Lonchura striata: one gene and its partners. The protein of the gene in region 1 interacts with the protein of each later gene in a biochemical or structural test. Links are inferred from orthologs where the notes say so. Each region holds a gene or a part of one and is shown in the gene's direction. Other genes may lie near its edges. The genes, in order: NCK2, ERBB3, LIMS1 and PDGFRB.

Region 1 (6,950 bases):
GAATTGAACATATGTTTTAAGCAGAAACTAAATATTTAGTGATGTAAACCCTTCAAGATTTTTTTTTTTGAGAGAAAATATACTGACAGAAGTTTTCTGTTATTTTCTGTTATTGTTGTTTGTGTCATTAAAATTAGCATTTTTTCAGGTTAAGGAGAATTTAAAATCCCCTTTTTTCTTCCCCAGAATGCCCAAAGATTTTTATCTTTCCATTTGTTATTGATACAGTATCAACAATCACACATGTATAAATGGAGTTTATTAGACTATTGTTATCTTTAAAAGGCAGTTTTGAAAATCAGGAGTAGGGGCTTTTGAAAGAGGTTAATCACAGAATCGTAGAATAAATTGTTTTGGAAAGACTTCTCAGATCATGGAGTCCAACCTATATTAACTTAGATTAGGTATATTTTCATCCCAATAGACTAACACAGAGTGACAAAACACCTTTTGCTGTCTACCTCTGAACTGGACAATGTTGTTTTCCAGATTTTCAACTTACCAGTCCCTCTGTCTCACATCCCTGCTAAAGTGTATCCCTATGGGAGTAGGTATTAGTTCAGACTCTAGATAGAGCAGCTGGTGAGAAAACCTGATGCATCTGGAGAAAAGATCAGGTATTTGTGCAGAAGGAGCCACATCTGGGAGGTGGTTGTTCTCTCCTGCCGCATTGTGTGTAAACACATTAGTGTGGTTTGGATCTGCATGGCTGGGATCCACATGTTCGCATGCCCATCCTGTGGAAGCCACCGCTCTGCCGGGCCGGTGGTAAAGCCCAAGCAGCAGCACACAGGGGAAAGAAAATGGGTAGTCATGAAAAAAGAAAGGCAAAAAAAAAGTAAAGAACTATAAGCCAAAAGACATGCTATTATTTTTTTTTTAGTGCCTTGTGCAAAACATGAACATCAAGATGAATTGACTGCCATTATATAATTGCAAAATAGGTCTATCACACAACCTCTGGGTCTGGGGTTTGCATGTAGCCCTATTTGAAACAGTGGTATGAGGCATGCTGTTTCTTTGCCAAAGACATAGATACATATTTCTATTATTCACCCATTTTTTTCTCTTTTTAGTATATAGTTATGGCCTTAGGCTGGGAAAAATATTTATGCTCTTCTCTACGGTGTATATGTTTTGTAAGGACAGCACCACTCTTATGCATATGCAAAAGTGCATGCTTTACATATTTACTTTCTTTATACAAAAGTGTGCCTGCCACATCATGTACTGCTTTCACTTCTGTGCATATTCCCCCCAATTTATCATCTTCTCATATTTAGAATGTAATTCTCACTCAAATCACAAGCAGCCAGCTCTTCTTAATAACAGTTATTTCAGAGATAACAGCTAATTATGACATTTTAAAAGGCATACATTAATATTTCAGTAGGCTCAATGTTTTGAAATACTACTCAGGGCAACATCTTGGTTGTTTTTGTGGGGAAACCTAAGGATTCATTCAGCAAATAGGCAGTTAAAACATCCTTCAACATATAAACCCTTGCAAACACTTTTTACAGTGTATTCTGTTTGTCATAAGCCACACTTTGGAAAAAACCCCAGCTTTAATGGATCTCTTCTTAATGCAATTAAGTATATTTAACAACAGTATGCTTCAGAGTCCTTAAATTAGTCCTTTGCCTCAAGACAATGTATTCATCCAAATCCCTCCCTAAAACATTCTTATTCTGCAAATCCTATTAGCATTAATCTGCTAAAGTTAGGTGTGTTTTATCATTTTTTTTCAGATACCTGGAAAGCTTTGAGAGCTACCGCTCATTCAGCAGCTAATGGTCCCTTCTAGAGGTCTTAGCCCAGAAACTTCGAAGGGTCCATGCCACCTTGCCTTGGACATCCTCAATTCAACAGCGAATAGGGAAAAAACCAGAGGAGGATTTATTGTGGGATGGCATTAGCAAAGGTGTGGTAAGAGGGACAAAACTTGAGACCAAAACCTAACTGTATAGTATAAATGCAAAGGATGGAAGGGATAATTCACCTCTCTTTTATCTCTTCCACAGTGCATTTTGTTCTAGAAACAACAGAGACTTTTATCTGAAAGTCCTTGGATGACCGATCCCATTTAAATTCAGCCTAAGCCTGTGCAGGCTGGAGTGATGCCTAACCATGCTGTGAGGTGGAGCCAGCAGGGACCCCAAATATTTTCCAGCTCTAAAAAAGCATGGTCAGATTATTGTTTCAAAAGGAAGATTAATACCTCTCTGAAGTGAAATTAAATGCATGCACAAAAACACAGGAAAGGGGATTTCTGTTCCTCCCCGAGGTGCATACAAAGTCTTTCTTGGAAGAAAGAGGTGGCTGCATTTTCCTTTCAGGTTTATCTCACAGGCAAGTGAAAGGCACTTGGAACTTCCCAAACCACCAATTAAGTGCTGTAAGAATTTGTAAAAGTTAACAAGGGGAAGAGGGAGTTATTTGAGGATTTCTAAACCATTTTAAGCAGGAGCATGGAAAGATGGCCGAGCACACATCTTTGTCTCAAGATCTCACTACTATATTAAGCTTGGTCACAGAAAACAAGGTGGCAGGGTTGCTGACTTTAATTTGGATTCAGAGTGGTGTTTCCTAGTCTTGCCTCCAAAGCCAGGAATTGTCTCCTGAGAAGAACCAGTATGGATAACACTCCAGCCTCCTCGCCCTCGGAGCTGCCATATTTCATATGTAAAGATGTATGTATTCGTATGTAAATACGGCATGTAAACATGCCAAAGGTTTACAATATTTTAGAGTGGCTTCCCCCTTCCTTCCTGCCCACCCCGAGGGATAATATTTCCCCATAGCCTAGGGACACTACTGGGGGGAGTGTGCCAAGGGGAAAGCACTGGAGCTGGCAGGTTGGCTATTCCCACTAGAGACCAGGGCCACGATGGGATGCTTCTGTCCTCTGCCTTTAATCACTCGTGGAGATCTTTCCCGTGAGTGGAGAGGCACAGCAGGTAGCACGGGCTGGACATACACCCAGCCACGGGGCTTTGTTTCAGAATTGGCTTACTCCAGAGACTGGCCTGAAGTGTGTCAGGGGAGGTTTAGGCTGCATATTAGAAAAAGTTTCTTCACCAATACGGTGCTTGGGCACTGGAAAAGGCGCCCCAGCACCAAGCTTCACAGAGTTCAAGAAGCATTTGGACAGTGCTCTCAGCACATGGTGGAGTTACTGAAGTGTCCTGTGCTTGGCAAAGAGTTGGGCACGATGAACCCCGTGGGTCTCCTCCAACACAGGATATTCTCAGAATCTGTGGCTTGGGGTGGCTGCCGTGCCCACACGCTCTGCCGAGGGCACAGCACCTACCAATTACCGCCCGACCGGCTGATGTACTGGGCACCGAGGCTGAAACTTCGCCCCGGGCCGGCAGGGAAAAGAAGGGCCGGGAAGAGAAGAGCTACGGCTGCGGCCGCCCCGCGGCTAATGGGCGGCGGCGGGAGCGCCCGGTATCGCGGCTGGAAATTCCCCGGCGGCAGCGGCGCCGCGCTCCCGGCCCGCGAAGCGCCCGGCCCGTGGCAGCCCCGGGGCGAACCCCGGCGCGGCGCATCCCCCGGCCCAGCCCCGAAGCGCGCACATCTCCCCCATCCCCGGGTCTTTCAGCGTTCGCCAGTACTTTTCCCGGGCGCTTCCGCTCCCAGCGGGGCAGCTTCCCCGGGTCTCATGGGGATGGAAGGGGAAGGAGGTGTCAGGGCGCTCGTCACGGGCAGGGGCCCCTTTGCCCCGCCCCGCGGTCCCGGAGAGGTCCTCCCGCAGAGGGGAGGGAGCCACCCAGGCTGTCCCTGCCCGTCCTTCCTGCGCTGGGGCGGGGGAGCAGCGGCCCTCCCGGCGGGCAAGGGGGAGCCCGGAGAGCTCCTCCCGCGCGATCCCGGCAGCGGCAGCGGCAGGAAGGGCAGGGCGGGGGCGGGGGCTGTGCCTGTGCCGGGGGGGGGCGGTTCGCGGAGGAGGGGCCGCCGCCGCCGCCGGGCGCAGCAGGCAGAGGGAAGGCAGGGAGCGGAGCTGCCGCCGCCGTTGCCGCCGCCGAGGGCCGGGGCCTTGGACGCGTCCGGTGAAGAGCGCGGGAGGAGAAGGAAGGGGAAGCGGGGGGAGCCAGCCGGCCCCTCTCGGAGGACGCGGCCCGCATCCGCCCGGGGAAGGACAGAGGGAAGCGGAGGGGGAGCGAGCGGGCGCCGCCGCCGAGGAGACAAAGAAGCGGAGCCCGCCTGGGCTGGGAGCCTCCCCGCCGCTGCTGCCCGCCCCGCTCCGCTCCCCGCCGGCCGGCCGGAGGTGAGCGCGGCCGCGGGCGGGACGGGGATGGGGCCGGGGCGGCGGCTGGGGCCCGCCGCAAACTTGTGTCGGCCGCGGGGGACGACGCGGGGAAGGGGCGTCGGGAGCGGGGGAAAGGCGGGTGTCACCTGTGCGGCCGAGGCTCCGCGGCCGCCCCGCGCAGGAGGGGCCGGTACCTGCCGGGGGCGGCCCGGGGGGCCCGGAGCGGGAGGAGTGTTCGTTGTGCCACGTCCAGTTGGGGGGGGGGGGGCTGGGGGCGGCTCCTCTTCATCCTCCCGAGTTGCCGCTCGTGTGTGTGCGTGCGTGTGACAGCCGCTGCTTTGTGCCGCCCGGCCGGGGGGTAGCGCCGGGCCGGGACGCCACCCCCGCACCCCTCGCGGGGCTCCGGTGAACAGGGGCGGTGGATCCGGCGGCCGGGGCAGCGCCGGGGGAGGCGGGCAGCGCCTCCCGGCCGGAGCGCGGCGCACCCCGAAAGTTTCCCGGGCGGGAGCGGGAGCGCCGCCGCCCCGCGCGGGGACCGGCGAGCGAGCACGCCGGGCTGCGGCGGGGACATCGCCCTCGGTCCGCTCAGTTCGTTGTTTTTCCGTCACCGACTTTCGACTTCATAGGGCTGAGGCCGCGGATTTTCTCAAGGAGCGCGGTGCGCTATGGCCTCGGTCGATGCCAGTATAGGTAAAGGACATAAAGGTAAAATTACACCTCACGTAATGAGTGTTCAGTGAAGCGCATCCCTGCGTGTTTTGGGAAGAAAATTACTGAAGTTTATAAGTCTTCTCGCCCTGTTTTTAATTAAAAATCTGCCCAGCCTAACAGCTGCCCCTTGCTGGCAGGGTAGGCACTTTGGCCTATCTAAGATCAGGTTGCCAGATCGGGATTCAGTTTTGTAGTTCAGGTCTGACCTGCAGCTGGCTGATCATGAGAGCTCTCAGCTCTAGTTTCTATGTTAATATCTTCCACTATTTTTTAACAGTGAATGTGATTCTCTGTGTGCATAAGGGTTTTTCCGTGGATTCTGTGTAGTATTTCACTCTGAACTACCGTGTTTTTGTAAAACAAAGAGAAACCTTTTGTTGTTTTAAAAGTTGTACAGTGACTGAAAGTCGGCAACAATTTAAAGCGTTCTTCAGCTTGAACAGCGTTTCTTCCCATGAAGCTTTTTTCTTCTGAGGAACGTACTGCTGCTGTTCTAGCAGCTTAACGTGGGAGAATTAGACTTATCTTTCATGAAATGTGGTAGTGGCCCTTTGTAAAAACAAATTTTCATGGCCTAACCATGCGTGGTTTGTATCATCGGGAGTTTGGACTGGTAACTTAATATGGAGGAATTTGAAAGGACTCACTGGGTAGGAGATTATGAAGTATTTCTGTTTGAAAGTACTTGTTTTGTCGTTGCTTTTTAGGAATCTGAAGCAGCACCACATAGATGATGTTAATGGTACTGTGTTTTCATTTTTAGGATTATAATTTCTGATGTAATGTTGCTTCTCTGAAATATTGATTTCACAACTCTGGAAATCGAAAGCCTCTGTCTCACCCAAGTGTGTTTAAGAAGTTAAGCAGATTGCTTTGTCTTTGTAACTGACTTTCTTCTTGTGACTTTGACAGAAGATGTCACTTTTGGGAACAGTGAATAAATGTAGCAATAGAAGGCACCCGTACCATGAAGATCAAGACTGTAATTAGCAAATATTTTTATATAGGCCATGAAACGGAGACAGATTCATTATAATGTTAGCTCTTGTTGCTGTTGTTCTGTCGTCGCAACATTAGCTGTTGCATTTGCCTCCTACTTCTACCAGATTACAGTTCGATTGCTTTTGTGAAAAAAAAAAATTATACACAAAATCTCTTTTGCATTATTTTCCCAAAACTAATAGCGGAGTTAGCCCTTGATAGTGTGGATGATCCTTTTTACTACATCCAGACTACTGAACATATGATAAATTCAGAAGTTCAGCCTTTGCCTTGTTGCCTTACAGACAGGGAACTTACCTCCCTTTCCTCTCTTCTCTGTTTTCTTGGTTAGCTGTCTGAAAGCTTAAGGAAAGGTGTTTGCACTCTTCCATGTCACCTCACATCTTCTGCTATATAAAGAAGAGGGACAAGGTCAGCCGTGTCTGCTGCTTTTCCAGCCTTTGTTTTATCTGTGCCTTGTGTTGCTGTTGGTATGTTAATCCTTTGCAGTTCTCATGGCTTTCCTCAGTAGAAACTATAACAGTAGCAACTTGAAAAGTGATACCCAGATAGCTCTGTTTGCTGGTCGTGGTCTTGAGCAGCAGCAAAACTACCCAGAGTATCTGCATTTCTCATGCTCCTTGAGCATTAAAGCTGCTTCCAGACTCATGGAGACAGGTGCTGTATCAATTTACTTGCAGCAGGTTTGAAATCAAAACCAAGGCATCTTTGAATGTAAAGCATACGTTCTAGAAAAATATTTTCTGTTTGTATTGAGGGACTGATGGTTTCTAGGCTGTGGGTATTCCCAAACCCCACTCCTGCTGTGTTTTGAGGAAGGGGAATTGCTGATGTGGATTCATTAGAGATGTTTGAGGGAGTTTGAAAACTGAAACCAGGCACTGCTGTGTTTTGGTTAGTTCAGTCAGCCTAGGGGTGAGGTGCTGGGTGCTCGTTGCTGGACACCCTGCTCCCCCAAAGTAGGTCATCTGGTGTGTCAAAAAGA
Region 2 (7,960 bases), on another chromosome or scaffold:
TTTCTCACCCCAAAAAAATAGTTCTTCTCACCCCCAGTCCCAAAAACTCCAATCCCAAAAATCCCAAAAACTCACCTGGATCAGCCCCATAAACACCCCGCAGATTGACCTGGATCAGGCTCCGAAAAATCCCAAAATCTCACCTGGATCAGGCTCAGAAAAATCCCAAAAACTCACCTGGATCAGGCTCAGAAAAATCCCAAAATCTCACCTGGATCAGGCTCAGAAAAATCCCAAAAACTCACCTGGATCAGGCTCAGAAAAATCCCAAAGACCCCCTGGATCAGCCCCAAATAGTGTCCTTGTTACCCCAAAATAAAGTCCTTTTTATCCCCCAAAAATAGTCCCTGTCACCCCCAAAAAATAGTCCTTGTCTCCCCAAAAAACAGTCCTTGTCACCCCAAAAAACAGTCCTTGTTTCCCCAAAAAACAGTCCTTGTCACCCCCAAATAGCCCCTATGGCACCCCAAAATAGTGCCTGCCACCCCCAGGGTCCCTGGCTGTATTTTTGGGGTCCCTGGATATGTTTTTGGGGGTCCCCGAGTGTATTTTTTGGTGTTTTTGGGGTTCCTGGTGTGGGGTTTTTGGGGTCCCTGGATGTATTTTTGGGATCCCTGGCTGTGTTTTTTGGGGTTTTTGTTATCCCTGGATGCGTTTTTTGGGGTTTTTGGGGTCCCTGGGTGTGTTTTTTAGGGTTTTTGGAATCCCTGGTTACATTTTTGGGGTCCCTGGTTACGTTTTTGGGGTCCCTGAACCCCGTTTTCCCCCCCCAGCCTACGTGCTGCCCAAGCTGTACATGAAGCTGCATTACTGGGGGTGTTTTTGGGGTCCCTGGGTGTGTTTTTGGGGTTTTTGTGATTCCTGGTTACATTTTTGGGGTCCCTGGGTGTGTTTTTTGGGGTTTTTGGGGTCCCTGGTTACATTTTTGGGGTCCCTGGTTACGTTTTTGGGGTCCCTGGTTACGTTTTTGGGGTCTCTGAACCCCGTTTTCCCTCCCCAGCCTACGTGCTGCCCAAGCTGTACGTGAAGCTGCATTACTGGGGGTGTTTTTGGGGTCCCTGGGTGTGTTTTTTAGGGTTTTTGGGGTCCCTGGGTGTGTTTTTTGGGGTTTTTGGGGTCCCTGGTTACGTTTTTGGGGTCCCTGAACCCCGTTTTCCCTCCCCAGCCTACGTGCTGCCCAAGCTGTACGTGAAGCTGCATTACTGCGTCAGCTGCGCCATCCACAGCAAGGTGGTTCGCAACCGCTCCCGCGAGGCCCGCAAGGACCGGACCCCCCCGCCCCGCTTCCGCCCCGCCGTGAGTCTGGGGGGTCCCCGAGGGGTCTGGGGGGGTCCATGAGGGGTCTGGGGGGTCCTTGAGGTGTCTGGGGGGGTCCATGAGGGGTCTGGGGGGTCCCCGAGGGGTCTGGGGGGGTCCATGAGGGGTCTGGGGGGGTCCATGAGGGGTTTGGGAGGGTCCCCGAGGGGTCTGGGGGGGTCCATGAGGGGTCTGGGGGGGTCCATGAGGGGTTTGGGGGGTCCCCGAGGGGTTTGGGGGGGTCCATGAAGGGTTTGGGGGGTCCCCGAGGGGTCTGGGGGGGTTTATGAGGGGTCTGGGGGGTCCCCGAGGGGTTTGTGGGGTCCCTAAGGGGTTTGGGAGGGTCCCCGAGGGGTCTGGGGGGGTCCCTGAGGGGTTTGGGAGGGTCCCTGACGGGTTTGGGGGGTCCATTAGAGGTTTGTGGGGTTCTCAAGGTGTCTGGGGGGGTCCCCGAGGTGTCTGGGGGGGTCCATGAGGGGTTTGGGGGGGTCCATGAAGGGTTTGGGGGGTCCATGAGGGGTTTGGGGGGGTCCCCGAGGGGTCTGGGGGTGTCCCTGAGGGGTTTGGGAGGGTCCCTGAGGGGTCTGGGGGGTCCATGAGGGGTTTGGGGGGTCCCTGAGGGGATTGAAGGGTCCCAGGTGTGTTCAAAAGGGGTTTGGGGGGGTCTCTGTGGGGTTGGGGGTGTCCCCGATGGGTTTGGAAGGGTCCTGGAGGGGTTTGGGGGGGTCCCAGGGCGGTTTGGGGGTGCCCCAGGCTTCTTTGGGGGCATCCCTGAGGGGTTTTGGGGGGTCCCCGAGGGGTTTGAGGGGTCCCAAGGGTGTTCAGAAGGGTCCTGGAGGGGTTTGGGGGGGTCCCCCAGGGGTCCCAGGGGCTTGGCGGGGTCTGGGGGTGTCCCTGAGGGGTTTTGGGGGTCCCTGAGGGGTTTGGAGGTCCCAGGGATGTTTGGGGGGGGATCCCCAAGGGGTTTGGGGGGTCCCAGGGGTGTTGAGAAGGGACCTGGGGGGATCCCAGAGGGGTTTTGGGGGGTCCCAGAGGGCGTTTGGGGGGGTCTGGGGGTACCTGGAGGGGGTTTTGGGGGTCCTAAAGGGTTCTTGAGGGGGTCCCAGGGAGCATTTGGGGGGATTTTGGGGGCACCAAAGGGGTTTGGGGGGGTCCTTGGGGGTCCCACACAATTTAGGGGATCCCAAGGGGTCTCAGGGGGTTTTGGGGGGTCCCAGGGGACGTTTGGGGGGGATCCTGGAGGGGTCTGGGGGTACCTGGGTGGGGGTCCCACACAGTTTTGGGGGTTCCTGGAAGGATTTTTGGGGGGTCCCATGGGTCTGTGCCCCCCCCCCCCTCCAGCCCCCCTAATTTTGGGGTTCTCTCTGCAGGGAGCCGCCCCCCGCCCCCCCCCAAAACCCATGTGAGGACCCCCGGTGAGGACCCCCGGAGCCGCGGGACCCCCAGAGCAGCGTCAATAAAGGATCTGCCCCAGCCCGCTCGTTTTGGGGGGATTTGGGATTTTGGGGGGTCCTGAGGGTGTTTTGGGGGGGATTTGGGATTTTTGGGGGGTCCTGAGGGGTCTCAGGATCTCCCCCAGCCCGCTTGTTTTGGGGGGATTTGGGATTTTTGGGGGGTCCTGAGGGTGTTTTGGGGGGATTTGGGATTTTGGGGGGTCCTGAGTGAGGGGGTCTCAGGATCTGCCCAAACCCGTTCGATTTTTGGGGGGACTCGGGGTTTTGGGGGGTCCTGAGGGGGTCTCTGATCTTACTCCGTGGTTTTGGGGATTTGGGGGGGCTCCGGGTTCCTCCAGTGTGGCCTGGGGGTGTTTGGGGCCAGACCCCCCGTTTTTGGGGCCAGACCTCCCCCATTTTGGGGTGTTTGGGGCCAGACCCCCCCCATTTTGGGGTGTTTGGGGTCAGACCCCCCGTTTTTGGGGCCAGACCTCCCCCATTTTGGGGTGTTTGGGGCCAGACCCCCCGTTTTTGGGGTGTTTGGGGTCAGACCCCCCGGTTTTGGGGTGTTTGGGGTCAGACCCCCCCCATTTTGGGGTGTTTGGGGTCAGACCCCCCGGTTTTGGGGCAGGACCCTCTCCGTTTTTGGGGTGTTTGGGGTCAGACCCCCCGGTTTTGGGATTTTTTGGGGTCAGACCCCCCGTTTTTGGGGTGTTTGGGGTCAGACCCCCCGGTTTTGGGGTCAGAACCGCCGGTTTTGGCATTTTTGGGGTCAGACCCCTGCCCCCGTTTTGGGGGGGGTCTTCAATGGTCCCTACCTCCCCTCCCCCTCCCGTTCGATTTTTTGGGGAGGGGTCTCGATGAGACCGGGGGGTACAAACGGGGCTGGGGGGCACCGGTGACCGGACCGGGGGCATGGAGAGGGTGAACCGGGACCGGGGGTGTGAACGGCACCGGGGGCACGGAGGGGGCGAATTGAGACCGGGACCGGGACCGGGGGTCGGCGGGACCGGGCGTGTGAACGGGGCTGGGGGCACCGGCGACCGGACCGGGGGCTCGGACCAGGACCGGGACTGGGGGATCTGAACGGGGCCGGGGGCACCGGGAGTCCGGAGGGGCGAATTTGCTCCGGTACCGGGACCGGGGGTGTGAACGGGGCCGGGGGCACGGAGGGGGCGAATTGAGACCGGGACCGGGACCGGAACCGGGACCGGGAGTGTGAACGGGGCTGGGGGCACCGGCGACCGGACCGGGGGCTCGGACCAGGACCGGGACTGGGGGCACCGGGAGTCCGGAGGGGCGAATTTGCTCCGGGACCGGGACCGGGCGTGTGAACGGGGCTGGGGGGGCACCGGTGACCGGACCGGGGGTCCAGAGGGGGCGAACCGGGACCGGGACCGGGGATGTGAACGGGACTGGGGGCACCGGGAGTCCGGAAGGGGTGAATTGACACCGGGACCGGGACCGGGGGTGTGAACGGGACCGGGGGCACGGAGGGGGCGAATTGACACCGGGACCGGGACCGGGGATGTGAACGGGGCCGGGGGCACGGAGGGGGCGAATTGAGACCGGGACCGGGGGTCGGCGGGACCGGGCGTGTGAACGGGGCTGGGGGCACCGGCGACCGGACCGGGGGTCCAGAGGGGGCGAACCGGGACCGGGACCGGGGGTGTGAACGGGACTGGGGGCACCGGGAGTCCGGAAGGGGTGAATTGAGACCGGGACCGGGACCGGGGGTGTGAACGGCGCTGGGGGGCGTACCGGGAGTCCGGAGGGGGCGAATTTGCTCCGGTACCGGGACTGGGACCGGGGGCGCGGCGGGACCGGTGGTGTGAACGGGGCTGGGGGGGCACCGGCGACCGGACCGGGGCTCGGAGGGGGCGAACCGGGACCGGGGGATGTGAACGGGGCCGGGGGCACCGGGAGCTCGTAGAGGGCGAATTTGCACCGGGACCGGCACCGGGACCGGGCTGGGGGCGTGGGGGCTTCACTTGACCGGACCGGAGGGCCCCGGGCCGGGCCGGAGGCGCCGCGCGGGGCCGGTCCCGGCCCGGTGAGGGCGGCCGCTGCCGGTGCCACCGCCCCGGGCGGGTCCCGGGAGGGGCGGGGAGGGGCAGCGGGGTGTCCTCCCCCCCTCCGCCATCCCCGGCCCGGCCCGGCCCGGCCCCGCCCGCCCCGGGGCCCCGCGCCAGGTGCATTCCCGGGCACGCTCCGCCGCTACCGGCGCCCGCGATGGAGCCGCACCGGGAGCGGCACCGGGCGCTGCTGCCGCTGCTGCTGCCGGTGCTGCTGCTCCCCGCGCCCGGCTCCGCGCAGGCAGGTGAGCACCGGCACCGGCACCGGCACCGGCACCGGGGGCAGCGGGGCTGCGCCGTGGGATCGGGCACAGGGGAACCGGGGAAGCACCGGAGCGCTCGGGGCTCCCGGGATGGGCGGCGGGAGCGGGAGCGCTCGGGGGTGGCGGCGGTGCTGCTGTCCCGACTCCGCCGGTACCGGACCCCGCTCCAATCCCGGTAATTCCCGCGGCTGTTTCCGCCGCGGGGGCGTCCCGGGATCCCCCGGTGCTGCCCCCGGGGGGACCGCACGGCTCCGGGGACACCGGGACCGGCGCTGAAACCTCCCCGGGACTGCGGCTCCGGCGGGGCTGGGGCTCGGTGGCCGCTCCCGGGGCTCGGTGCCCCTTTCCGGGACTCGGTCCTTGGCTCGGTGGCCGCCCCCGGGATCCGTCCTAGACTCGGTGCCCCTTCCCGGGGCTCGGTCCCGCTCTCGGTGCCCTCTCCCTGATTCGGTCCCGGGGCTCGGTGCCCCTTTTTGGGGCTCGGTCCTGTTCTCGGTGTCCCCTCCCGGGGCTCGGTGCCCCCTCCCGTTCTCGGTGTCCCCTCCCGTTCTCGGTGTCCCTTCCCGGGCTCGGTCCCGTTCTCGGTGCCCCCTCCCGTTCTCGGTGCCCCCTCCCGGGCTCGGTGTCCCCTCCCGGGCTCGGTCCCGTTCTCGGTGCCCCCTGCCGGGGCTCGGTCCCGTTCTCGGTGTCCCCTCCCGTTCTCGGTGTCCCCTCCCGTTCTCGGTGTCCCCTCCCGGGCTCGGTCCCGTTCTCGGTGTCCCCTCCCGTTCTCGGTGTCCCCTCCCGGGCTCGACACCTGCGGCCCCGCAGCTGCCCGGGCTAATTTTAGGCTGCGGGGCCGAGCCCGGCGATGCTTTTGGGCTCCGGGCGGGACCCCCGAGGGGGGTCGGGGGTGGGGGGGATCCTTCCAGCGGGGGACCCCCGGAGGATCCCCCCGGTGCCGTCCCGCGAGGCCGCCCCGCACCCCCGGTACCCCGGAAGGGCCGCGGCCGCCCGGGAGTTGTTTTTCAATCCCCAAAGGAAAAACACCGAGGGCTGGACGCGCAGGTGGGGCCGGCGCCGCCCCGAAACACCGGGGGATGCCCGGGGGGGGTGCCCGGGGGTGCCCGGGGGTGGGGGGCACACCGGGGGGACCCCTCGCTGTGTCCCCCGCTCCATGTGCCACCGGCGACGCTTCGGGTGCCACCCACGGGCTCCGGATCCGAGGGGACAGAGGGAGCCTCGGGGACACTCGGGGGGCTCGGGGACACTCGGGGGGCCCGGGGACACCCCGGGGACACCCCGGGAGCGGCCCCAGCTCTGCACCCCCCAAACCCCGGCTCTGAGAGCCCCCTTTGTTCGGGGCCCGGCACGCACACAGCCCCCTTTGTGCCGCCGCCGGGACCGAGGGCAGGAGGTCGCTCCGAGCCCCTCCCGGTGCCCCCCGGTGCCCCCGGTGCTATTCCTGGCGCCGGGGGCCGCGGTGGCACGCGGTTGATAGCGGGGACGTGCCGGAGCTGCCGGCGGGGCCCCGCGCTGATAACGCCCGGTCCCGCCGCCGCCGCGGCGCCCGGGGGGAACCGGGGGGGTCCCACCATCGCCGCCCACCCCCCCGCGGGCAGGTGCAACCGGGGGTCGCGGCCCCCCAAAATCCCCCCGCGGGACCCTCGGAGCCTTGAAGGTGTCGGTGGGTCATTAACGGAGGAGCCGGCGGACAGGGCTGGATGCTGCCCCCCGGCACCTTGGGGTCCCCCCCGGTCCCCCCCGGTGTTTCACGGGGGTCGCAGCACCCCCCGGCCCGGGCTCCCCCCGTGCCCCTCCCCGGTGCGGCGGGGCCCGGGGCCGCTGCCGTCGCAGCTGGGACCTTTTTATAGCCCCGTTCCCTGCTCAAATGGCCCGGGCCGGGCCGGGGGGGCCCTTCCCGTGCGTGCCCCGAGCTCCGCCGCCGCCCCCGGAGGGGTCCCGGGCCGGACAAAGCCGCCTTTGACCGCGGCCCCCCCTCCCCGCGCCCCGGCCTGAGTCACGGCTGGCGGATCCGGGGGGGCCCCGCGCCCCTCGGTGCCCCCGGGGGTCCCGGTTTGGGGGGCGTCCCCCGCCACAATCGCGGCTTTGTGCGGTGCCGGCCCCGCGCACAAAGGGGGCCCTGTGCGCCCGCACGACAACCGGGGGACCCCGAGCCGCCGCCCCCGCCGGGACCCCGCAGCGGGGCGGGCGCGGGGCTCGGCCCGCGGGGCGGCGGCGGCGGCGGGGCCGAAGTCCGGGCGGGCGTGGCGGGGCCGTGCCCGAGGCGCCCGCCTTGCGCAAGGCTCGCCCGGCCGGTTCGGGCACCGCGAGCGGGGAGGGACCGCGAGGGAGCGGCGGGGGAGGACCCGGGGCGGGGAGAGCGGCGGGGAGGGGGACACCGCGGGCTGGGTGACACGGAGGGGACACGGCCACCGCGGGCTGGGTGACACGGAGGGGACAGGGACATGGAGGGGACAGGGACATGGAGGGGACAGGGACACCGCGGGCTGGGTGACACGGAGGGGACAGGGACACCGTGGAGGGGACAGGGACACCGTGGAAGGGACAGGGACATGGAGGGGACAGGGACACCATGGAAGGGACAGGGACATGGAGGGGACAGGGACATGGAGGGGACAAGGACATGGAGGGGACAGGGGCGTGGTGGAGGGGACACGGCCACCATGGAGGGGACAGGGACACCGTGGAGGGGACAGGGACACGGAGGGGACAGGGACATGGAGGGGACAGGGACATGGAGGGGACAGGGACACCGCGGGCTGGGTGACATGGAGGGGACAGGGACACCATGGAAGGGACAGGGACACCATGGAGGGAATAAGGACATGGAGGAGACAGGGGCATGGTGGAGGGGACAAGGACATGGAGGAGACAAGGACGTGGTGGAGGG
Region 3 (7,987 bases), about 950 kb from region 1:
GTTCCACATAGTGCAGGCAGATGACTCAGGCAGAATCAAAGGCTGGCATTTGCCTGTACGCTGAGGATTCAGTGGAGGATTTTTGGTGGATGTCAGTGACAGATGACATGAACTGAATATTTGTGCAAGGAAGCCATTACCCTAAAGAGAAATACGTTACTGCATTTTAGAATCATAGAATCATTTAGGCTGTAACAACCTCTTAATATCAAGTCTAACTAATAACCCATTACTGCCAGGTCTACCTCTAAACTATGTCCCCAAGTGCCACATCTACATGTCTTTTAAATAGTTTCAGGGTTGTTGACTCTGCTCCACTTCTCTGGGCAGTCTGTTCCAAATGCTTGACGCCCCTTTGCATGAAACAAAAAAAAATAATGTCCAATCTGAACTTCCCTTGAAGCAACTTGAGGTTGTTTCTTCTTGTCCTGTCACTTTTTCAGAGCTTGGTGGACTTGATTTTCTCTTTTCAGGCTTGAAAAGATGGTTCTTTTCACAGCGACTGTCTCAGGAACATTTGATGTGCAGCCCCTAGAATTAAGTGGCTGACCTTTTTTATTATTCTTAAATTAGAAATGAGGATGTAAGTGTTATATGAAATGCATCAGTGCAAATGTATCCTTAAAATTTATAGAGTTGGAGGAATTTGGATACCATAATGAAATAGACTTGCAGTTGACTACTCAGGTGCAGATTTCAAGAATAGCCAATAATGTGCTGTGTCACATGCAACACAAAATTATTGGAGTTCATGAGCTTCTCATATATGGTACTGTTTGTTTTATTTTTCCTGTCTGCACAGGATTGAAGGAAACAGTAGTGTGGGAGGACGAGATGAATGTTTTAAAGAGTATCAAATATCTGTACACAGAAGTTATTACTTGGTTTATGCTTCATTTGGTAATAGATGTAACCAGCAGGAAGAAAACACAATACTTTGCTGAAATATTACTTACAACAGGAAAATGCTGTAGTTGCATATTGCTCTTCCTTTATATAAATTCTGTCAGAGACTGATATTTCACTGTGCCTGAATGACTGATAAACATTGTGTGGGAAGCTGCTGCTTACCTGTCTATTCCAGTTATATTTACTTCCTTATGGAGAGATGGAATGTGAACCTTCTCTGTTTATGGAGACCAAAGCATTTTTTGGACATGTTTATACTAGAATAAATTTATACTGGAGGATATGAAACAACTAGAATTGCCTTTTTGTTTGCCCTGTTTAAACTCCCACCACATAAGCTTAATTATGTATTTTGAGGTGAAGACTAAAGAATGAAACTTTCAGGAACACTCAGAATTCACATGATTTTTACTGCAGTGTTTTCAAGATGGTTTTCCATAATTTTTAATAGAAGAAGTAGTTGGAGCAGTGCTGAGCACATGTGAAAATCCAACCTGTAAAAATGTGCATTTTAATTATATAAAATATTAATTACTTTTTTCAAACTGCCTTAGGAGACCAGAAAGTATTTTATTGCTTAAGAGATAAACAATTGCAGCAACCAGAACCCAAGAGTGTTTTTAATTTCAATAAGAAACCCTCACAAAAGGTCAACTAGTGCTTTGAAATGTTGGTGCAGAAATCAGAGCAGGGCACTGCAAGCCCACGCGTCTTTTGCAGCCAAACTTCTTTTCTAGGTTGTTCTGTATTTTGCGTGTGAGAGTCACTGCACAGCATCTGTTACTGCATCATTGGAATGAACCCACTCGTGCCTGCGGGGGAGGAGGTGGGATGCACTGTGCTTGTTCATCCCCCGCCTGTCCCCGCGGGTGTTTCCTCCCGCAGCTGTATGTCCCGGTGGCACAAACAGGTTGCCAGGCAGCAGCTGCCTTTGCCAAGCACCTTGTTTGGAGCCGTGGCTGCTCCGCACACGGCTATTTGTGGCACGGAGTGAAATGCTCAGCGGGCTTGGCTGGCCACCGAGCCGTCACTGTAAGAGTCCCTGTCTGCCCCTGGCAGCCGCCGGCATGGGCAGCCAGGCTGGAAAGCTGTGCAGCGAAAGCAGCGTGGAGTGAGGCGGCAGTCATCCTTCAGCAGGGATTAGGCAGTGCGCCTATTTTTGCTATTGTTTACCAAAGCCCTTCTGGTAACCGCAGTGGAACACTTCTCCCTCCCTCTTCTACCATTTCCTTCAGCACCTTCCCTACCATCAGTTTTGGCTTCTGATAAGATCTTCAGTGTGCCAAGAGGAGATTGTCTTTTTCTTTCATACCTGTCTTTTCTAGTTAAACGCCCAACTTCTTCTCCCTAGCACTGCATCTTTAACAATAGGCTGCTTGCTGTGTTTTGTCCCATATCCCAGGGAATGCCCTTGGGAAGCTGCTGCTGCAAAACAACCCCTTACATACTTCTCACTCTCCATGGACAGCTTCACCTCAGAGTAACCTAGAATTCCCTCATGAAAATGAAGTGTATTTTTAACAATGTATTTCAGATCTGGGCAGCATGCCTCCTATAAAATGTCAGAAAAGAGAAGGATGGCCAGCTGCTCTGGATTATCAGACCTTCACAGTAGAAGCTGTGTTTTGCTTCAGTAGCATAAAGGCCCTTTTAAAACTCTTGTTAAGCTCCTTCTTGTTTATTAGAAAAAATTTGGAGTCATTCCTCCAGCAGCAATGGTAATATGACTGGAGAACCAGACAACTTCTACTTACTGCACATATGGAGTCCTGTTACTTTGAAGGACTTGCTCCTGACAAAAACTAGGAAGATAAAACCAGGCTTTTTGGATGGACATCTTACTGCACTAACTTGCTGTACTACTTGCTTTGCTACAGCCATGCAGAAGACTGCACAGTAGCAAGGTGAAGGAGCAATCAAATGTTTTCTTGTTGACCAAAGAGAATATGAGGCAGCAGAAGTTGTTTCCAACCACATTGGTCACCTGTGGATTTCAGATTACTGCAAAACTGTAGTAGTCCACCAGGAAAAAGTCTCTATGGGGCACTTTTGATTTACAGCAGCATCTTCCCAGGAGAATTGTCTGTGATCTGGGACAAAATACAGGAAAAGAGTTGGGAAATTGTTGAGAAGATAGTGATAAGAGGAAGAGGTAGGCTCACTTGCTGTTTATTATCTTAGTGGCTTCATTTATCTTTACTAATCCTGAATAAATCAGCATTTTTAGTCCACTGTAGTCAGTCTCACTGAAGTTTTTTATGCCCACAGAAGCTCAGCACTGACCTGTGCAAAAAGTGTTGGGAAGCAAGATGAAGAAGAACTGGCATCACTATACCTGCATGTCTGTTGGCAGTCTGCACATTTTCATCACTCATGCTTCAGAGAATGCAGAAACCTTTTCTTCCAGGACTGCAGTGGTGCTCTGGCAAGATCTTTTTGGCCTTGGGCTAGAACCTGAGCATTGCTTCATCTGCAGTGTGCCCTATGACAGATAAAAATAGGACTTGAGCTGCAGCCAGGCTGTGTCAGTGGTGAGGGTGCAGCTTCCTTAGCCTGTTAGAGCTTGACTTCTGGTAGCTCTGGCATAGGGTGAATAATCACACCTACAGACAGGCAGATCAGCAGGGTCATGCTGCCTGGGTCCCACCTACGCAAGGAAATAGCTTGCCTAGGGGGTTGTTGCTCCTTGTTGAGGGGAAGTGAAGGGAAGACACTGACCAAACCCATTCCACAAATTTGTCAGCAGAAGCAGCAGCGTGGGACTGTGTTGGCTGAGCTGTAGGAAGGTGGCTGCATGCAAGCTCAGGCCTGCATGGAGAGTGGCGTGTGGGCTGCTGTACGCTTGCTGAGCAAGCTGTCTTAGGTGGTGGTGAGAGATATGGCCAAAAAACATCACCAACCAGACCCTCTGTGGTAGGTCCTAGGGAAGGTGCAGGTATATTAAGAAATTGTAGCCTTGACTGGACATTCTGTCATATCCTGTGACAGTATAAGCGGAAATGGCCTCAGGTTGTACCAGGGAAGGTTTAGATTGGAGATCAGGACAGATTTCTTCATGGAAATGTTGTCAAACACTGGAACAGACTGCCCAGGGAAGTATTAGCATCACCATCACTGGTAGTATTTAAAAGATGTGTAGATGTGGCACCTGGGGACATGATTTAGTGGTGAATGTAGCAGTATTAGTTTAATGGTTATACTCAGTGGTCTTGAGGTCTTTTCCAATCTAAATTATTCTATTACTCTCTGATCTTAGTTCTAGTTTCTCTATTTGTTCCTGGTACTCATCTCCTTCTTGTCATCCTCTGCTTCCTCATGCCCCCTCACAGACTAGCAGATTCTTCAGCTGCCAGTGTGCTGTGTGTCATGAGCACAAAGTGCATGCAGTTCTGCAGTTCAACTGGTTGCTAACAAGGCTGAGACAGTTCAACACAAAAGTTAGTTACTCAGGGGGGCTTCCCAAAAGCCTTCCTTTTCTGCAGTTATAAAGTGCTGGAAGCCCACAGGCACTGTGCCACAAACACTGCGCTTCAAAGAGGGAGAGCTTGTAAGAGTCTAATTATTAGCTGTAAATCTTACTTTAGTTAGTGTTCTTACATTGGATAGTTGTTCTAAATGCAGCACATCACTGGAAATAAAGCTTTGGTTTTCCTCCTTCATGTATTGTCCATTATGGCATGCCTGTCAGTTTTGTTAATGGCCTGAGAAACAGAACAGAAATCAAACAATCTGCTTGTACCTTCCCCTTGTCTGAAGTACTGAGAAGAGGAAAGACATACATAGATAAATTCAACACATATGACTTAAAAGACACAAGTGGAGCATTAAATGTCATTTTTACAATGTAATTAACACACTATAGCATTAAAGCAATATTTACCTGGAGACAGGAGTCTTCTGATCCTGCTTTCCACTGTTGGTTTGCCCATGATAAAATATTGTTGGACTCTGCCTTCACGCCCCCACAGCATAAAGAAGCTGCAGCCAAGTTTGGTGATAAACTTATTTGCACATAGGTTACTCACACCACAGCTCTCCTGGGCAGCTTCTGTCAGCAGCCAGCAGCGAAGACCCTTTCCAGCATCCGAGTTTACATGAGGGCCTGGTGAGGGGAGTGTTCTCTGTGCACAGCCAGCCTGCGTAAATCTCAGCGTGACAGGCTCCCAGCCCTGCTGCTGAACTTTTAACTTGAAGCTCTAGCAGGGTGCTGAGTAGCTCCAGCTACATGACAGGAGCTGTGAAAGTAAATCACTTCGCTGGGAACAAGGGGAAGTCCAGCATATTGTTTTGCGGACTTTGCCTACAGTTTGTTTGCAGTCTAAGCATAGAATATATACACCTGGGAAAGCAATCAGAGCGAGATGGACTTCCAACGCAGAGCTCAGCCCTTCCCCATCCCAGAGGATGAAGAGGTTGCCTACAAGGTCACTCCTGATGCTCACAACTCCGCAGGAAATGAAGGCGAGAAACCGGTGTCAAAATTGCAACGTAGGCACAGTGAAATAAAACTCTACAAAGAGTTTTGTGATTTTTATGCAAGATTGTAAGTTTGTTCTGTTCAGCTTCGGGGTGTAACTGCAGTGACATTACTGGTGTATTGTACATAATATATTTTATTATCTGGGGCTCAGGCTGTGCAAGCTGTTCTCTCATTCAACCTTTGCCACTGTTCTGCTTGAAACATTGCCAGTTGTAACAACTAAAATTTGAATTGTTGCTTTAAATTTCATCATGAATTGCATCAGGAATTTTTATCAGCAGTAAAAATGGTGTTGGAATTTTTAAAGTAGTCTCTCTGCCTTCAGGTTGTTTGCCAGTTATTCTGGGCAAATGGATAAACCGCTTCATTAATGCAGAAGTATTACATACTTCACTAGTTTTACATATGTGATGTGTTTCAAAGTTAAGCACTTTTTCCTGAAGAGGGAAACTGTTTTTACTTGGTTTTGAACTTTGTTTCATGTTTTTGCTTGGATTGTACTTTACGTACATCAGTGCTTAGAATCCTTAATGCTCAAGCACTGTTGAAGTGATGATGAAAGATCCCAGTTTCTCTTGTGATTATTCTTCATTTAGATTGATAAGGAAGATGGGAAAATTGACTGAGGTTTTGCCCCACAGAAAGCATACACAGTCAATGAAGACCATTGATGACCTTTACAGTTGATCACAGTTTATATGTATAGTCACTGCAGTTTGTCCATAGGTCTGTCTGTTATTAGGGGTTAGACCATCCTGTGTCTGATCTTCATGTGAAATTTGCCCACTCATTTCACTGTGAGGACAGTGGATATTTGGATTGCAGTTACCGTTTTCCTCATCTGCAAAGATCAAGTGAGAGAGAAAAAAAAGTGCTAGCTAATAATAACATGTCAAATGTGACCTTGTGTAGGGCTCTTCTGTGAGACAGTGTAAGAAATAGATAAAACACATTCCATTTTGAACCACGTGCTAGGTGTTTGCTTGCTCCCTTGGATAGTGTGCAAGGAATGAATTCAATTCCTATTGAACATGGTGGGAGCCCAAAGGTCTTATCCCCTTGAAGAGATAAGAAGGAAGGCTTGGCATCTTACAGAGGACTGTGGGCTCTGCACTTACAGGCACAGCATGATAACTTATCAAAATGCGTGCCTGCATGCATATGTGTTTCAAATAATGTCACTTGTCTAATAACCTTCCAGATAAATATTGAGTCATTAGTTTTCTCAGCTGACATCCCATTTTAATGAAACTAGACCATTGCCCTATATTTACTTTCTGTTACCACATGGTATTAAGGATGATCCTGAAAGGCAGAGTTTTGAGAGCCTAGATATGAGTGATGGAATGTTTGCAAAGGGAAAACCAAAAGAGCCTTTTGCTGGCTTTAATTAACTGAAAATCAGCTATACTGTCTTCTGCAGATGTGGACAGCTACCACACTGCCTTTTTTTTGGTCCTGTGCCTTTGAGAAGCAACCAAGGTTGCTGTTTCAATATTTCTTTGCATCCCTGGCATGGGTCGCAGTGGGGCAGCCAGAGCATTCCCACCCTCTCCTCCCCCCTAGCCTTGGAGTGGGCTATGAGCTGGCACATGATCAGCCGAGCTCCCTGAGATAAACCCTAACAAAGCAATCAAAAATCCCATGATTTCAAACTAAATTTGTAAAATGACTTCAAGCTATGCAGAGCTCATATAAAGGATAATTATTTAACTACTCTGTTTTTCATTAATATCTGCCAGACTAGATCCTGCACACTCTTTCACATTGTTTATTTAGAGCTCTGAACCAATGCCATTATATATGTATAGTTTAGAAGTTATATATGTATGTATTAGAATTGGTTTACAATAAATAATTTATGTTTTACTGTGTGATGCCAGTCCTTAATCATTAATATTTGCCCTTGTTTTCAGTCATTTTAATGTATATCATAATTCTTATAGTACTTTGAATTGCCTTTTTTCATCATAGAAAGCCTGTAAATGTGTCTGAAGAGACAAGGTTTCTGTTTGGGGTTTTCAATTAATTAGAGCATATCACAGGGATTTTGTTTCTATCTAAAGAGTTAGGGAGCAGGGAGATGCCGCAAGCTATGAAGTTCATGGAAAAACTTGTGCTGAGCAGCTTATCATTAGGTTGGTGCAGTTTGGCCTGGTAGAGCAGGGGAAAGACTGATGACCAGTGTTGTTGTCTACTTAGGCTAATTTTCTTTCTTTTTTTTTTTTTTTTGAATGACAGCAACATGGCGAACGCGCTTGCAAACGCCATCTGTGAGCGCTGCAGGGGGGGCTTTGCCCCTGCCGAGAAAATTGTGAACAGCAATGGTGAGCTGTACCACGAGCAGTGCTTCGTCTGCGCCCAGTGCTTTCAGCAGTTCCCCGAAGGGCTCTTCTATGAGGTAAGTGGGGCAGAGACCCCTGCTGTCCCCATACCCCCTCTTGAGCCTTCATTCCCATAGCAGAAGTAGCTACAGGCAGGTGGATAGCTTAGAAAGTCCCATGAGAGTATCTGGGCTCTAACAGAGTATGCCCAGTAAAGGGAGAAAAAAACCAGAAGCATTTCTGTGCTAATTTGGAGGACATCCATGTATATAAC
Region 4 (6,979 bases), on another chromosome or scaffold:
AGAGGGCACTGGGGACAGGGACACATGCTGCCAGCCCTCACTGCTTCCCAGCATGTGTGGGCCCTGCTCTCAGTGGGTTGGGTGTGTGACTCCCCCTGCACTGCTGGCGAGCGTCCTGGTTTCACTCCTTGGCTGTGTTTCGGGCACGGGGCAAGCAGAGGGTTAACAATTCCCACATTAAAGTGGCTGCAGATGTGTGGGAAAGTCTGGGGCCAGAGGACAGCACCGTTATTAGTATTCACCCAGGAGCCTGTCGCTGCCTCCCGGGGCTCTGCCGAGCACATTTAATACCAAGGTTCGTGGCGGGGGTGAGGAGGAGTGCGTGGGACGGGGTCGGAAAGGCCCCGAGGTGGGGAAAGGCAGCAGGATAACATCGTCCTTGGCTGCTGCCTCCTCCCAGTGCCCCAGCCCAGAGGATGTAGGCAACGGGCCAGCACCCCTAAGGACACAGCACAATACATGGGTACAGCCCAGTGTTACCTCCTGACACTGCTGGCACCCTGTGGTGTCCATGGCCAGGGTTTCCAGTGCTGCAGGAGTGTTCCCAGTGCTGGGCAATGCTGCAGGATACTCCACAGGATGCTTCCCATCATGTTATGCTTGGGCATGCACTCACTTTGGAAGAAGCCCAGCCCTTTCTGCCTCCCCTTCTTCCCTGGGCACTGGTGTCACCCACCCAGTGCAAGCAGGACCACACACACACACACACACACAGACACACACACACACACACACGGTACAGGCTCCTCAGGGCAGAGCTTTAGAGATGCTGGATGAAGCCTCGGGGCAGCTCCCTGCAGGGCCCAGGGGCTGCATCCAGCCAGCAGCATGTGCTGGCAGCTGCCACAGCAGATGGGCTGCCCAGATGTGGTGCTGTGCTCCCTGGCACCCGCCACTCCTCTCTTGTGCTCTGCAGCTTCACACCACTTCAGAGCAACGCTGAAATTCCTGGGCTGACTTGGAACTGATAGAGGCTCTGAAAAACTGAAGCTGGAGAAAATCTGGCCCTCATCAAACCTTCAAAGGAGTGGAGTAGGCCAGCACCTGCTGCTTCTTTTGTACCTGCCTGTCACCTGCTGGCACATGGTACCTGTTGCTGACTCAGCATGGTTGTTTCCACCATTGTCTTGGGTCACCTGGCTCTGGTCTCTCTCCTCTATATCAGGCTTGGGATATGGGCTTTTCTCTGTGGTCCCAGCTCTGCCTGGGATGGGGCAGGAGTTCAGAGAGCTGCTTTTATCCACGTGATGCAAGAGCAGACCAAATACCCTGGAATGTCCTGTTTCAGTGGTTGATTTCCCTACCAGAGATGCTGCACTACATGACCCCAAGCCCCCATTAGCACTTAACAACGCTTATTGAGGCTGGAGATCTCAGCTGAGAGGGGTCTGGCATCCCACACTGCAGCTGTCCCAGCCCCAGGGGGACCACTGGGTCCTGCAGCACCACGAAACACCAAAAATAGAGGTGAGCAATGAAGGGCTGATGATGCTGAAGTAGCAGAGCTGCTGCCCTCCACCCCCACACTTGCACAGGCGAGTTCCTCTGGCTTTGGTGCTTCCTCTGCGCTGGCCTTTCCCAGGAGCTGCTGTAACCCCAACGTGCTGTTCCTAAACAAAATGTGCGGCTGCGGATGCTCCCTGGGGATGTACAGAGTGGGCTGACGTGTGCTTGCCGGGATGCTTTGGGCTCCCCAGGGCTCTCTCAGCATCCCCAAACAATGAATCCTGGCCTTTGCAAGACTGGGAGGTTTTGTTTGCCAGATTCTTCCTGGACCCAGCCTGGAGTGGGTATTGGGACCATCTGTTTGCAAAGGACTGAGGGAAATACGTCCCACTTCAGGCTCAGGATGCTCTACCCTCAAGCATGGTCTGTGTCATCTTTTCCACCCCCTGCTCATCCCAGGTAGCCCATCCCCAGTGCAAGGGGCCCAGCAGGATTGCAGCAGTGGGTTTCTCCCTCTCCCACTCTGCCTGGAACAGTCACGTCCTTGGAGCGGGGACACTGCCAGGAAACAGCTCTGCTGAGCAATTCCCAGCAGCCCTTAGGTCCCCACATATGGACCCAGCAGACACATCTTTGTCCCTCGGGAAAAGCCCTGGGAAGAGCCATGTGCAGAGCACATCCCTCTGCTGCCTGCCCCCCACACGAGCTGCTCTCAGCTCGCTGCCTCCATTTCTGCACAGCAGCTTGTCTCAGCCCGGGGGCTGACAGGGCCCCTGGCACAGCCACCACCAGGTCTGGAGCTGGGGGAATCCTTCCAAGCCAGGGCTGCATCCCTCCTGCAGCTGTCCTGCTGCCAGGCACAGCAGCCCCATGCCATGAGTGGCACACAGGGATAGCCTGGCTGCTGCAGCCTGGCTCTCCTCACACTCCACAGCTGCACAGAATAAACACCTCCCCTTTGGTTTTTGATAGATAAAAAGAAAACATGGAGATAATGTGAGGTAAGCAGCAAATCTCTTGGGCTGGTCCAGCCAGGGGATCATTCCCTCTGGCCATTGTGCAGGCATTGACTAGCTTGGCAGGAGGGGATGAGTCTGCCTTGCAAAAAAGGCAGAAACACAGATTTCAGCAGTGTTGTCATGGAGAGGGCTTTTTAATTCTTAGAAAGGAAAATTAAAGGAAGATGGGCAGGTATCTTTTCAGGATAGCAGTGCAGTTTTGAACTATTTCTTATTTGGATCAGAGAGAAACACAGAATGGTTAAGGCTAAAAAAGATCTGTAAGATCATTGTAAGATCATCTTCACCACTAGGCCATGTCCCCAAGTGCCACATCTAGACATTTCTGAACACTTTTGGGGATGGTGATTGCACCACTTCCCTTCGCAGCCTGTTCCAATGCCTGACCACCCTTAAGCATCCCCAGGATGAAAATCTTGGCAAGAACTGATGGATCAAAGGCAGTTTTCATCCAAAGATAACCTGTCCCTTGTTACAGTGCTAAAAAAAATTGAAAAAAATCCACTCTGCACACATGATAATGTTCTGCCTACTGAAAGTTTCTCAGAAACTTGATTTGAACTCCTTAAGAAGCTGGGAGGATTTAAAACTGGTTCATCACGTGGATTCCATCCCCCAGGGCAGCAGGGGTGTAGGACATCTGAGATGATGGCATGGCTGAGGTGACCACTCCTGCCACCTCTCCAGCTCTGTGCCCTCAGCAGCCCAAACAGCGCCAAATCCCCAGCTAAACCCACCCTCGCTGCAGCATCCCAGCTGCAGAAAGCCTTTTATCCCCCTTTCCAAAAAGAAGAAGAGTTGCAAGGGTGCGTTGGTGGTCCCCAAGGGGCAGTGGCCAGTCGGGGTCAGGGGCCAGGAGCGGCGGGGCCGGCACAGCTCAGCACAGGGAGGCATCGGGGGAGCACACGGAGTCAGCTCAGTGCAGGCCTTCTTTAATAAAAACATGAGTCAGCTGCTGGCGTGGGCAGTGGATTTTCTAAACATCCCCTCATATCCTGAGAAAGGGGAAAAAAAAAAAAAAAAAAAAGAAAAAACGGGAGGGGGGGGGGGGGCTAGAGGGGGGAAAAAAGAGAAAGAAAATAAAAGAAAAAGAAAACAGAGGGAAAGGCCAGAATTGAAAGCAGACACAGGGAGAGGGCAGCTCCTTCCCTCCGGTTTAAGGAGGCGATAGTCGGGCTGCTCCGGGCTCCTTTTGTTCCCTGTTAGCCGGGCCCTCATCGCTCGCCCCATCTCAGCCCGCAGCAGAACTCTCCTCTCCTTGCAGCCACTTTGGCTTCTTCTCCTTTTATTTATTTTTTTTTTTTCCTTCACCCATCACACTCGTCCGCCGGGCGTTAATCGCAAATTCTGCTCCGCAAAGGGTCCCCACAGAGGGTGGAGGGAGGAAGTCGGAGGAGCTCCGCTCCTCATTGGCGAAGCAGCCTCCCCCCTTCTCCTCCTCCCGAGGTCTCTTTTATTTATACACGCACGCACACACGCGTGCACATCCCTCGGCCCCGGGCTTTGCTCCACGCTGGGGTCCGAGGAGGCAGAGCCCCCTCCCAGCTGGGCTGGGGCGGCACAGGGCACTGCTCGGATGCACTAGAGGAGCAGAGCAGGGGCTTGGCTGCAGCCCAGCCTTGGCACAGCCTTGCCTCTCCTTTTGATTTTATTTTATTTTCCCCCCGCTCCTCCCTTCCACTTCTTTCTTTCCCTCTCTTTCGCCTTTAAGTGGAAAAGCCTTGCCAGCTGGGGAAGGCTGGGAGGGCAGGGAGAGCCTCAGCAGGCAGCAGATAGAGAGTTTGGAGGAGGAGAGGGAGGAATTTCGGAGCCTTCCCGGTGGGACGTGCGGCGCAGGCACTCGGCTGGCGGGACCCTGCTCAAGGTAAGCTCTTGTGTCGCCCACCCGGGGGCTGGCTCGCCCTCCTGCTCAGCTCTGGCTCTCCAGATGGGAAATGTCGTGTTGGACCTGGTACAGCCCCGAAGGACCCTGTCCCTGATCCGGCCCGGCTGCTCTGCAAGGGGCTCTGCTCCCCTCCAAGGGTTGGCAGCCCGAAACGCCCACCAAGCCCTGGGGAGATGGTGTTTGGTGGAAAGCAGCTGAATTCTCCGGCATCCCACGGGAAGGAACACGGCATCAGCTCTCACCAGCCCCTGGGTGGGGATGGCTGAGAGGAGCGAGGGGATGCTGCGGCTGTAGGACAGGAAGGGGGGACCCCACTGCAGTGGGAGTAGGGCCCAGGTGATCTCTGCTTCTCCCTGGATTGGGGCTAGCCCTGGCTCTGCAGGATGGTGGCTGTGGGAGGGCTGGGGTGTGCAGGGGTCAGAGGCTGTTCGCCATGCCAGTGAGATATCCTTTGGAGTGTGAGTGCAGAGCAGTGTCACCCCTGTCATTGCCAGCCTGTCCAAACACACCCATGGCCATCAGGCTGCTCCAGGGACCGTGTCACCTCTGTCTGTGGCCATGGCAGGGCTCCTGTGCCTGTGGCATGGAGAGGGACATGTGCAAGCCCTGCCCAGGGTCTGTACCTGGGAGTGCTGCATACTGGAGAGGGCAGAGCTTGGTAAAACTCTACTAGGCATAGATGTGGGTGGCTACTCTGCTGTCCTGAGAGCACAAGAGCTGAGGGCCTCCAGCAGGGCAGAGCTGGTCTGGAGTGAGGCTCTGACAGCCCAGGAACAGGGGTGAGCATGACCTGCGGAGCTTTGGTGCTCACAGTGGCCTTAGAGCATCCAGCTCCTGCATTCACCTGCCAACTGGGAGTCATTCAAAACAGGATTTGTGGTGGAAAGGGATGTTGTGCTTTTCCGTCCTGGTCCCAGAGCAAGTGGGATTTATGCTAAAGCATGGGGAAAGTAGCTTAAAGTAGTTGGTCTGGTGTGCACACCCTGTGCTGGCAGAGGCTTGGCATTCCCAAATCTTTTCAGAAGATCTCTCATTGATGAAAAGGATTAGCAATGTTGAGACCCAGTGCTTCCCAGAGGCCATTGAGGGGTGGCTGGGAGGGTCATTCCCCCTCAGCACCCTGCAGGACAAGATGCTTGTGCCTCCCATGCTCTTGGGGAAGGAGTGAGTTTCGTGTGGTCAGTGAGCCAGTGTCAAGGACGTGTCTCTGCCTGGCAGAGGACACAGGCCAGGCTGGCTTGGAGGAGGAGCTGCCAGGCAGCTGCCCTGCTTGGCAGCCCTGGCCAGGGTCTGACATGAGGCTTGGAGTCACTTCTTGACAGGGATGTCACCCAAGCTTGGGTGTGCTCTGGCTGCTGTGGCAGCCACCAACCCTGGGCAGTGTCCCTGAGCCCAGGAAACACCTCTAAATCAGTCAGTGCATCGGGGGGATCGGAGTTTTGGACAAGCACCAAGTCACAGCATGCACAGGGCTTTTCCTAAAGCTGGCTGTCCCTTCCTCCAGCTCAGGACTATGGAGGGTCCTCATAGAAGGAGCAGTCCAGGAGACAACAGCCACTCATGTCCCTGTCCCTGCATCACCTCCTGCATCCCTGCCCAGGACTGGGAGTGCGGGGTGCCCGTGGTCAGTGTGCAGCAAGCACAGCCAGCTGCACTACTGCAGTCTGGGAGAAGTTAGCCATGGCTTATTGTCCACAGTCCTGGGCACATCTTGTGGTGTGCTGCAGGGCTCTGGCCTGGGCTTGGTCCTGTGCAATCCCTGCATGAACCACCTGGGAGGTGGCTGAGCACACATCCTGCACCCTGGGGTGGCACTGAGCTGGGCGGGCAGCTGTGTGTGAGGAGATGCCAAGAGCTCCAGCAGAGTCCAGAAGCGAGCAGAGTGGCTGTAGTGGACACAGACCAGATTGCAGCACGGTGCCAGGAAACCCAAGCTCTTCCTGAGGGATGCACTGGAAGATGCATGGCTGGAGGCAGCTCAGAGAGGCAGGGTGGATGGAGCAGGTCCTCCCCAGCAAGTGACACCAGGTGCTTCAGCAGGGATAGGTGTGGAGTGGATGGGCTCAGGGACAGCAGTGAGGATGATGAGATGTCCAGAAGAAGCTGCAAAGGACTGGGAGAGGGGTTGATGTGGCTCGTTGGTCACTGGGTGTTGTGGGAAGGTGACACACAGCTTCATGCACAGGAAAAGGCATCACAGAGAGAAAAGAGATTTTAGGAGGAATATCTCTAGGTTTAAAACAGAAGGCTGAGTTCCTTCAGCATCACAAGTCTCAAAGCACACGTCAGGGAAAGCTCTGGCTGGAAGACATGGGCACAGGACAGTGACACCATGATCTCTTTCAGCCTCATTTTCAATGGGTCTGTGACAGGATTTCCAAGGCATTCAGAACAACTCTCTCAGGGAGAGGAGAGCACCGAGCCTGTCTGCAGGAGCAGAGCAAGACAGGATTGTCTCAGTGAACACCAGAGGAAGGCTGAGATTAAGAAATGCTCTCTAGCTGTGGGAGTAATGCCATGCAAAAAGAGACCATTGGCTGGATATGGCATTGGCCAAGTGTCCAGCTGCTGCCAGAGGCTCCAGGCAGAGACTTCTCTGCTGGTCCTCAAGGTTCCTTTGGCCTCGGTG

What was found.
Region 2: the proteins of NCK2 (region 1) and ERBB3 form a complex in vitro, tested with the Homo sapiens proteins (2 studies listed by BioGRID and IntAct, with this or other methods). The link is inferred for Lonchura striata from reciprocal best matches to the Homo sapiens genes NCK2 and ERBB3.
Region 3: the proteins of NCK2 (region 1) and LIMS1 form a complex in vitro, tested with the Homo sapiens proteins (4 studies listed by BioGRID and IntAct, with this or other methods). The link is inferred for Lonchura striata from reciprocal best matches to the Homo sapiens genes NCK2 and LIMS1.
Region 4: the proteins of NCK2 (region 1) and PDGFRB form a complex in vitro, tested with the Homo sapiens proteins (2 studies listed by BioGRID). The link is inferred for Lonchura striata from reciprocal best matches to the Homo sapiens genes NCK2 and PDGFRB.

Annotation. Positions count from the first base shown.
Region 1 is NC_134604.1:89,332,369-89,339,318, forward strand, and holds the start of NCK2 (cytoplasmic protein NCK2), read left to right. Parts: upstream 1-3,942; 5' UTR 3,943-4,270; intron 4,271-6,950. UniProt on the Homo sapiens protein: Adapter protein which associates with tyrosine-phosphorylated growth factor receptors or their cellular substrates. Maintains low levels of EIF2S1 phosphorylation by promoting its dephosphorylation by PP1.
Region 2 is NC_134629.1:9,399,058-9,407,017, forward strand, and holds the start of ERBB3 (receptor tyrosine-protein kinase erbB-3), read left to right. Parts: upstream 1-4,942; 5' UTR 4,943-4,961; coding exon 4,962-5,049; intron 5,050-7,960. Other genes in the region: RPS26 (small ribosomal subunit protein eS26), read left to right, coding at 1,166-1,296, 2,667-2,702. UniProt on the Homo sapiens protein: Tyrosine-protein kinase that plays an essential role as cell surface receptor for neuregulins.
Region 3 is NC_134604.1:90,285,301-90,293,287, forward strand, and holds the start of LIMS1 (LIM and senescent cell antigen-like-containing domain protein 1), read left to right. Parts: upstream 1-4,979; 5' UTR 4,980-5,270; coding exon 5,271-5,452; intron 5,453-7,630; coding exon 7,631-7,790; intron 7,791-7,987. UniProt on the Homo sapiens protein: Within the IPP (ILK-PINCH-PARVIN) complex, binds to F-actin, promoting F-actin bundling, a process required to generate force for actin cytoskeleton reorganization and subsequent dynamic cell adhesion events such as cell spreading and migration.
Region 4 is NC_134617.1:6,433,975-6,440,953, forward strand, and holds the start of PDGFRB (platelet-derived growth factor receptor beta), read left to right. Parts: upstream 1-3,964; 5' UTR 3,965-4,329; intron 4,330-6,979. UniProt on the Homo sapiens protein: Tyrosine-protein kinase that acts as a cell-surface receptor for homodimeric PDGFB and PDGFD and for heterodimers formed by PDGFA and PDGFB, and plays an essential role in the regulation of embryonic development, cell proliferation, survival, differentiation, chemotaxis and migration.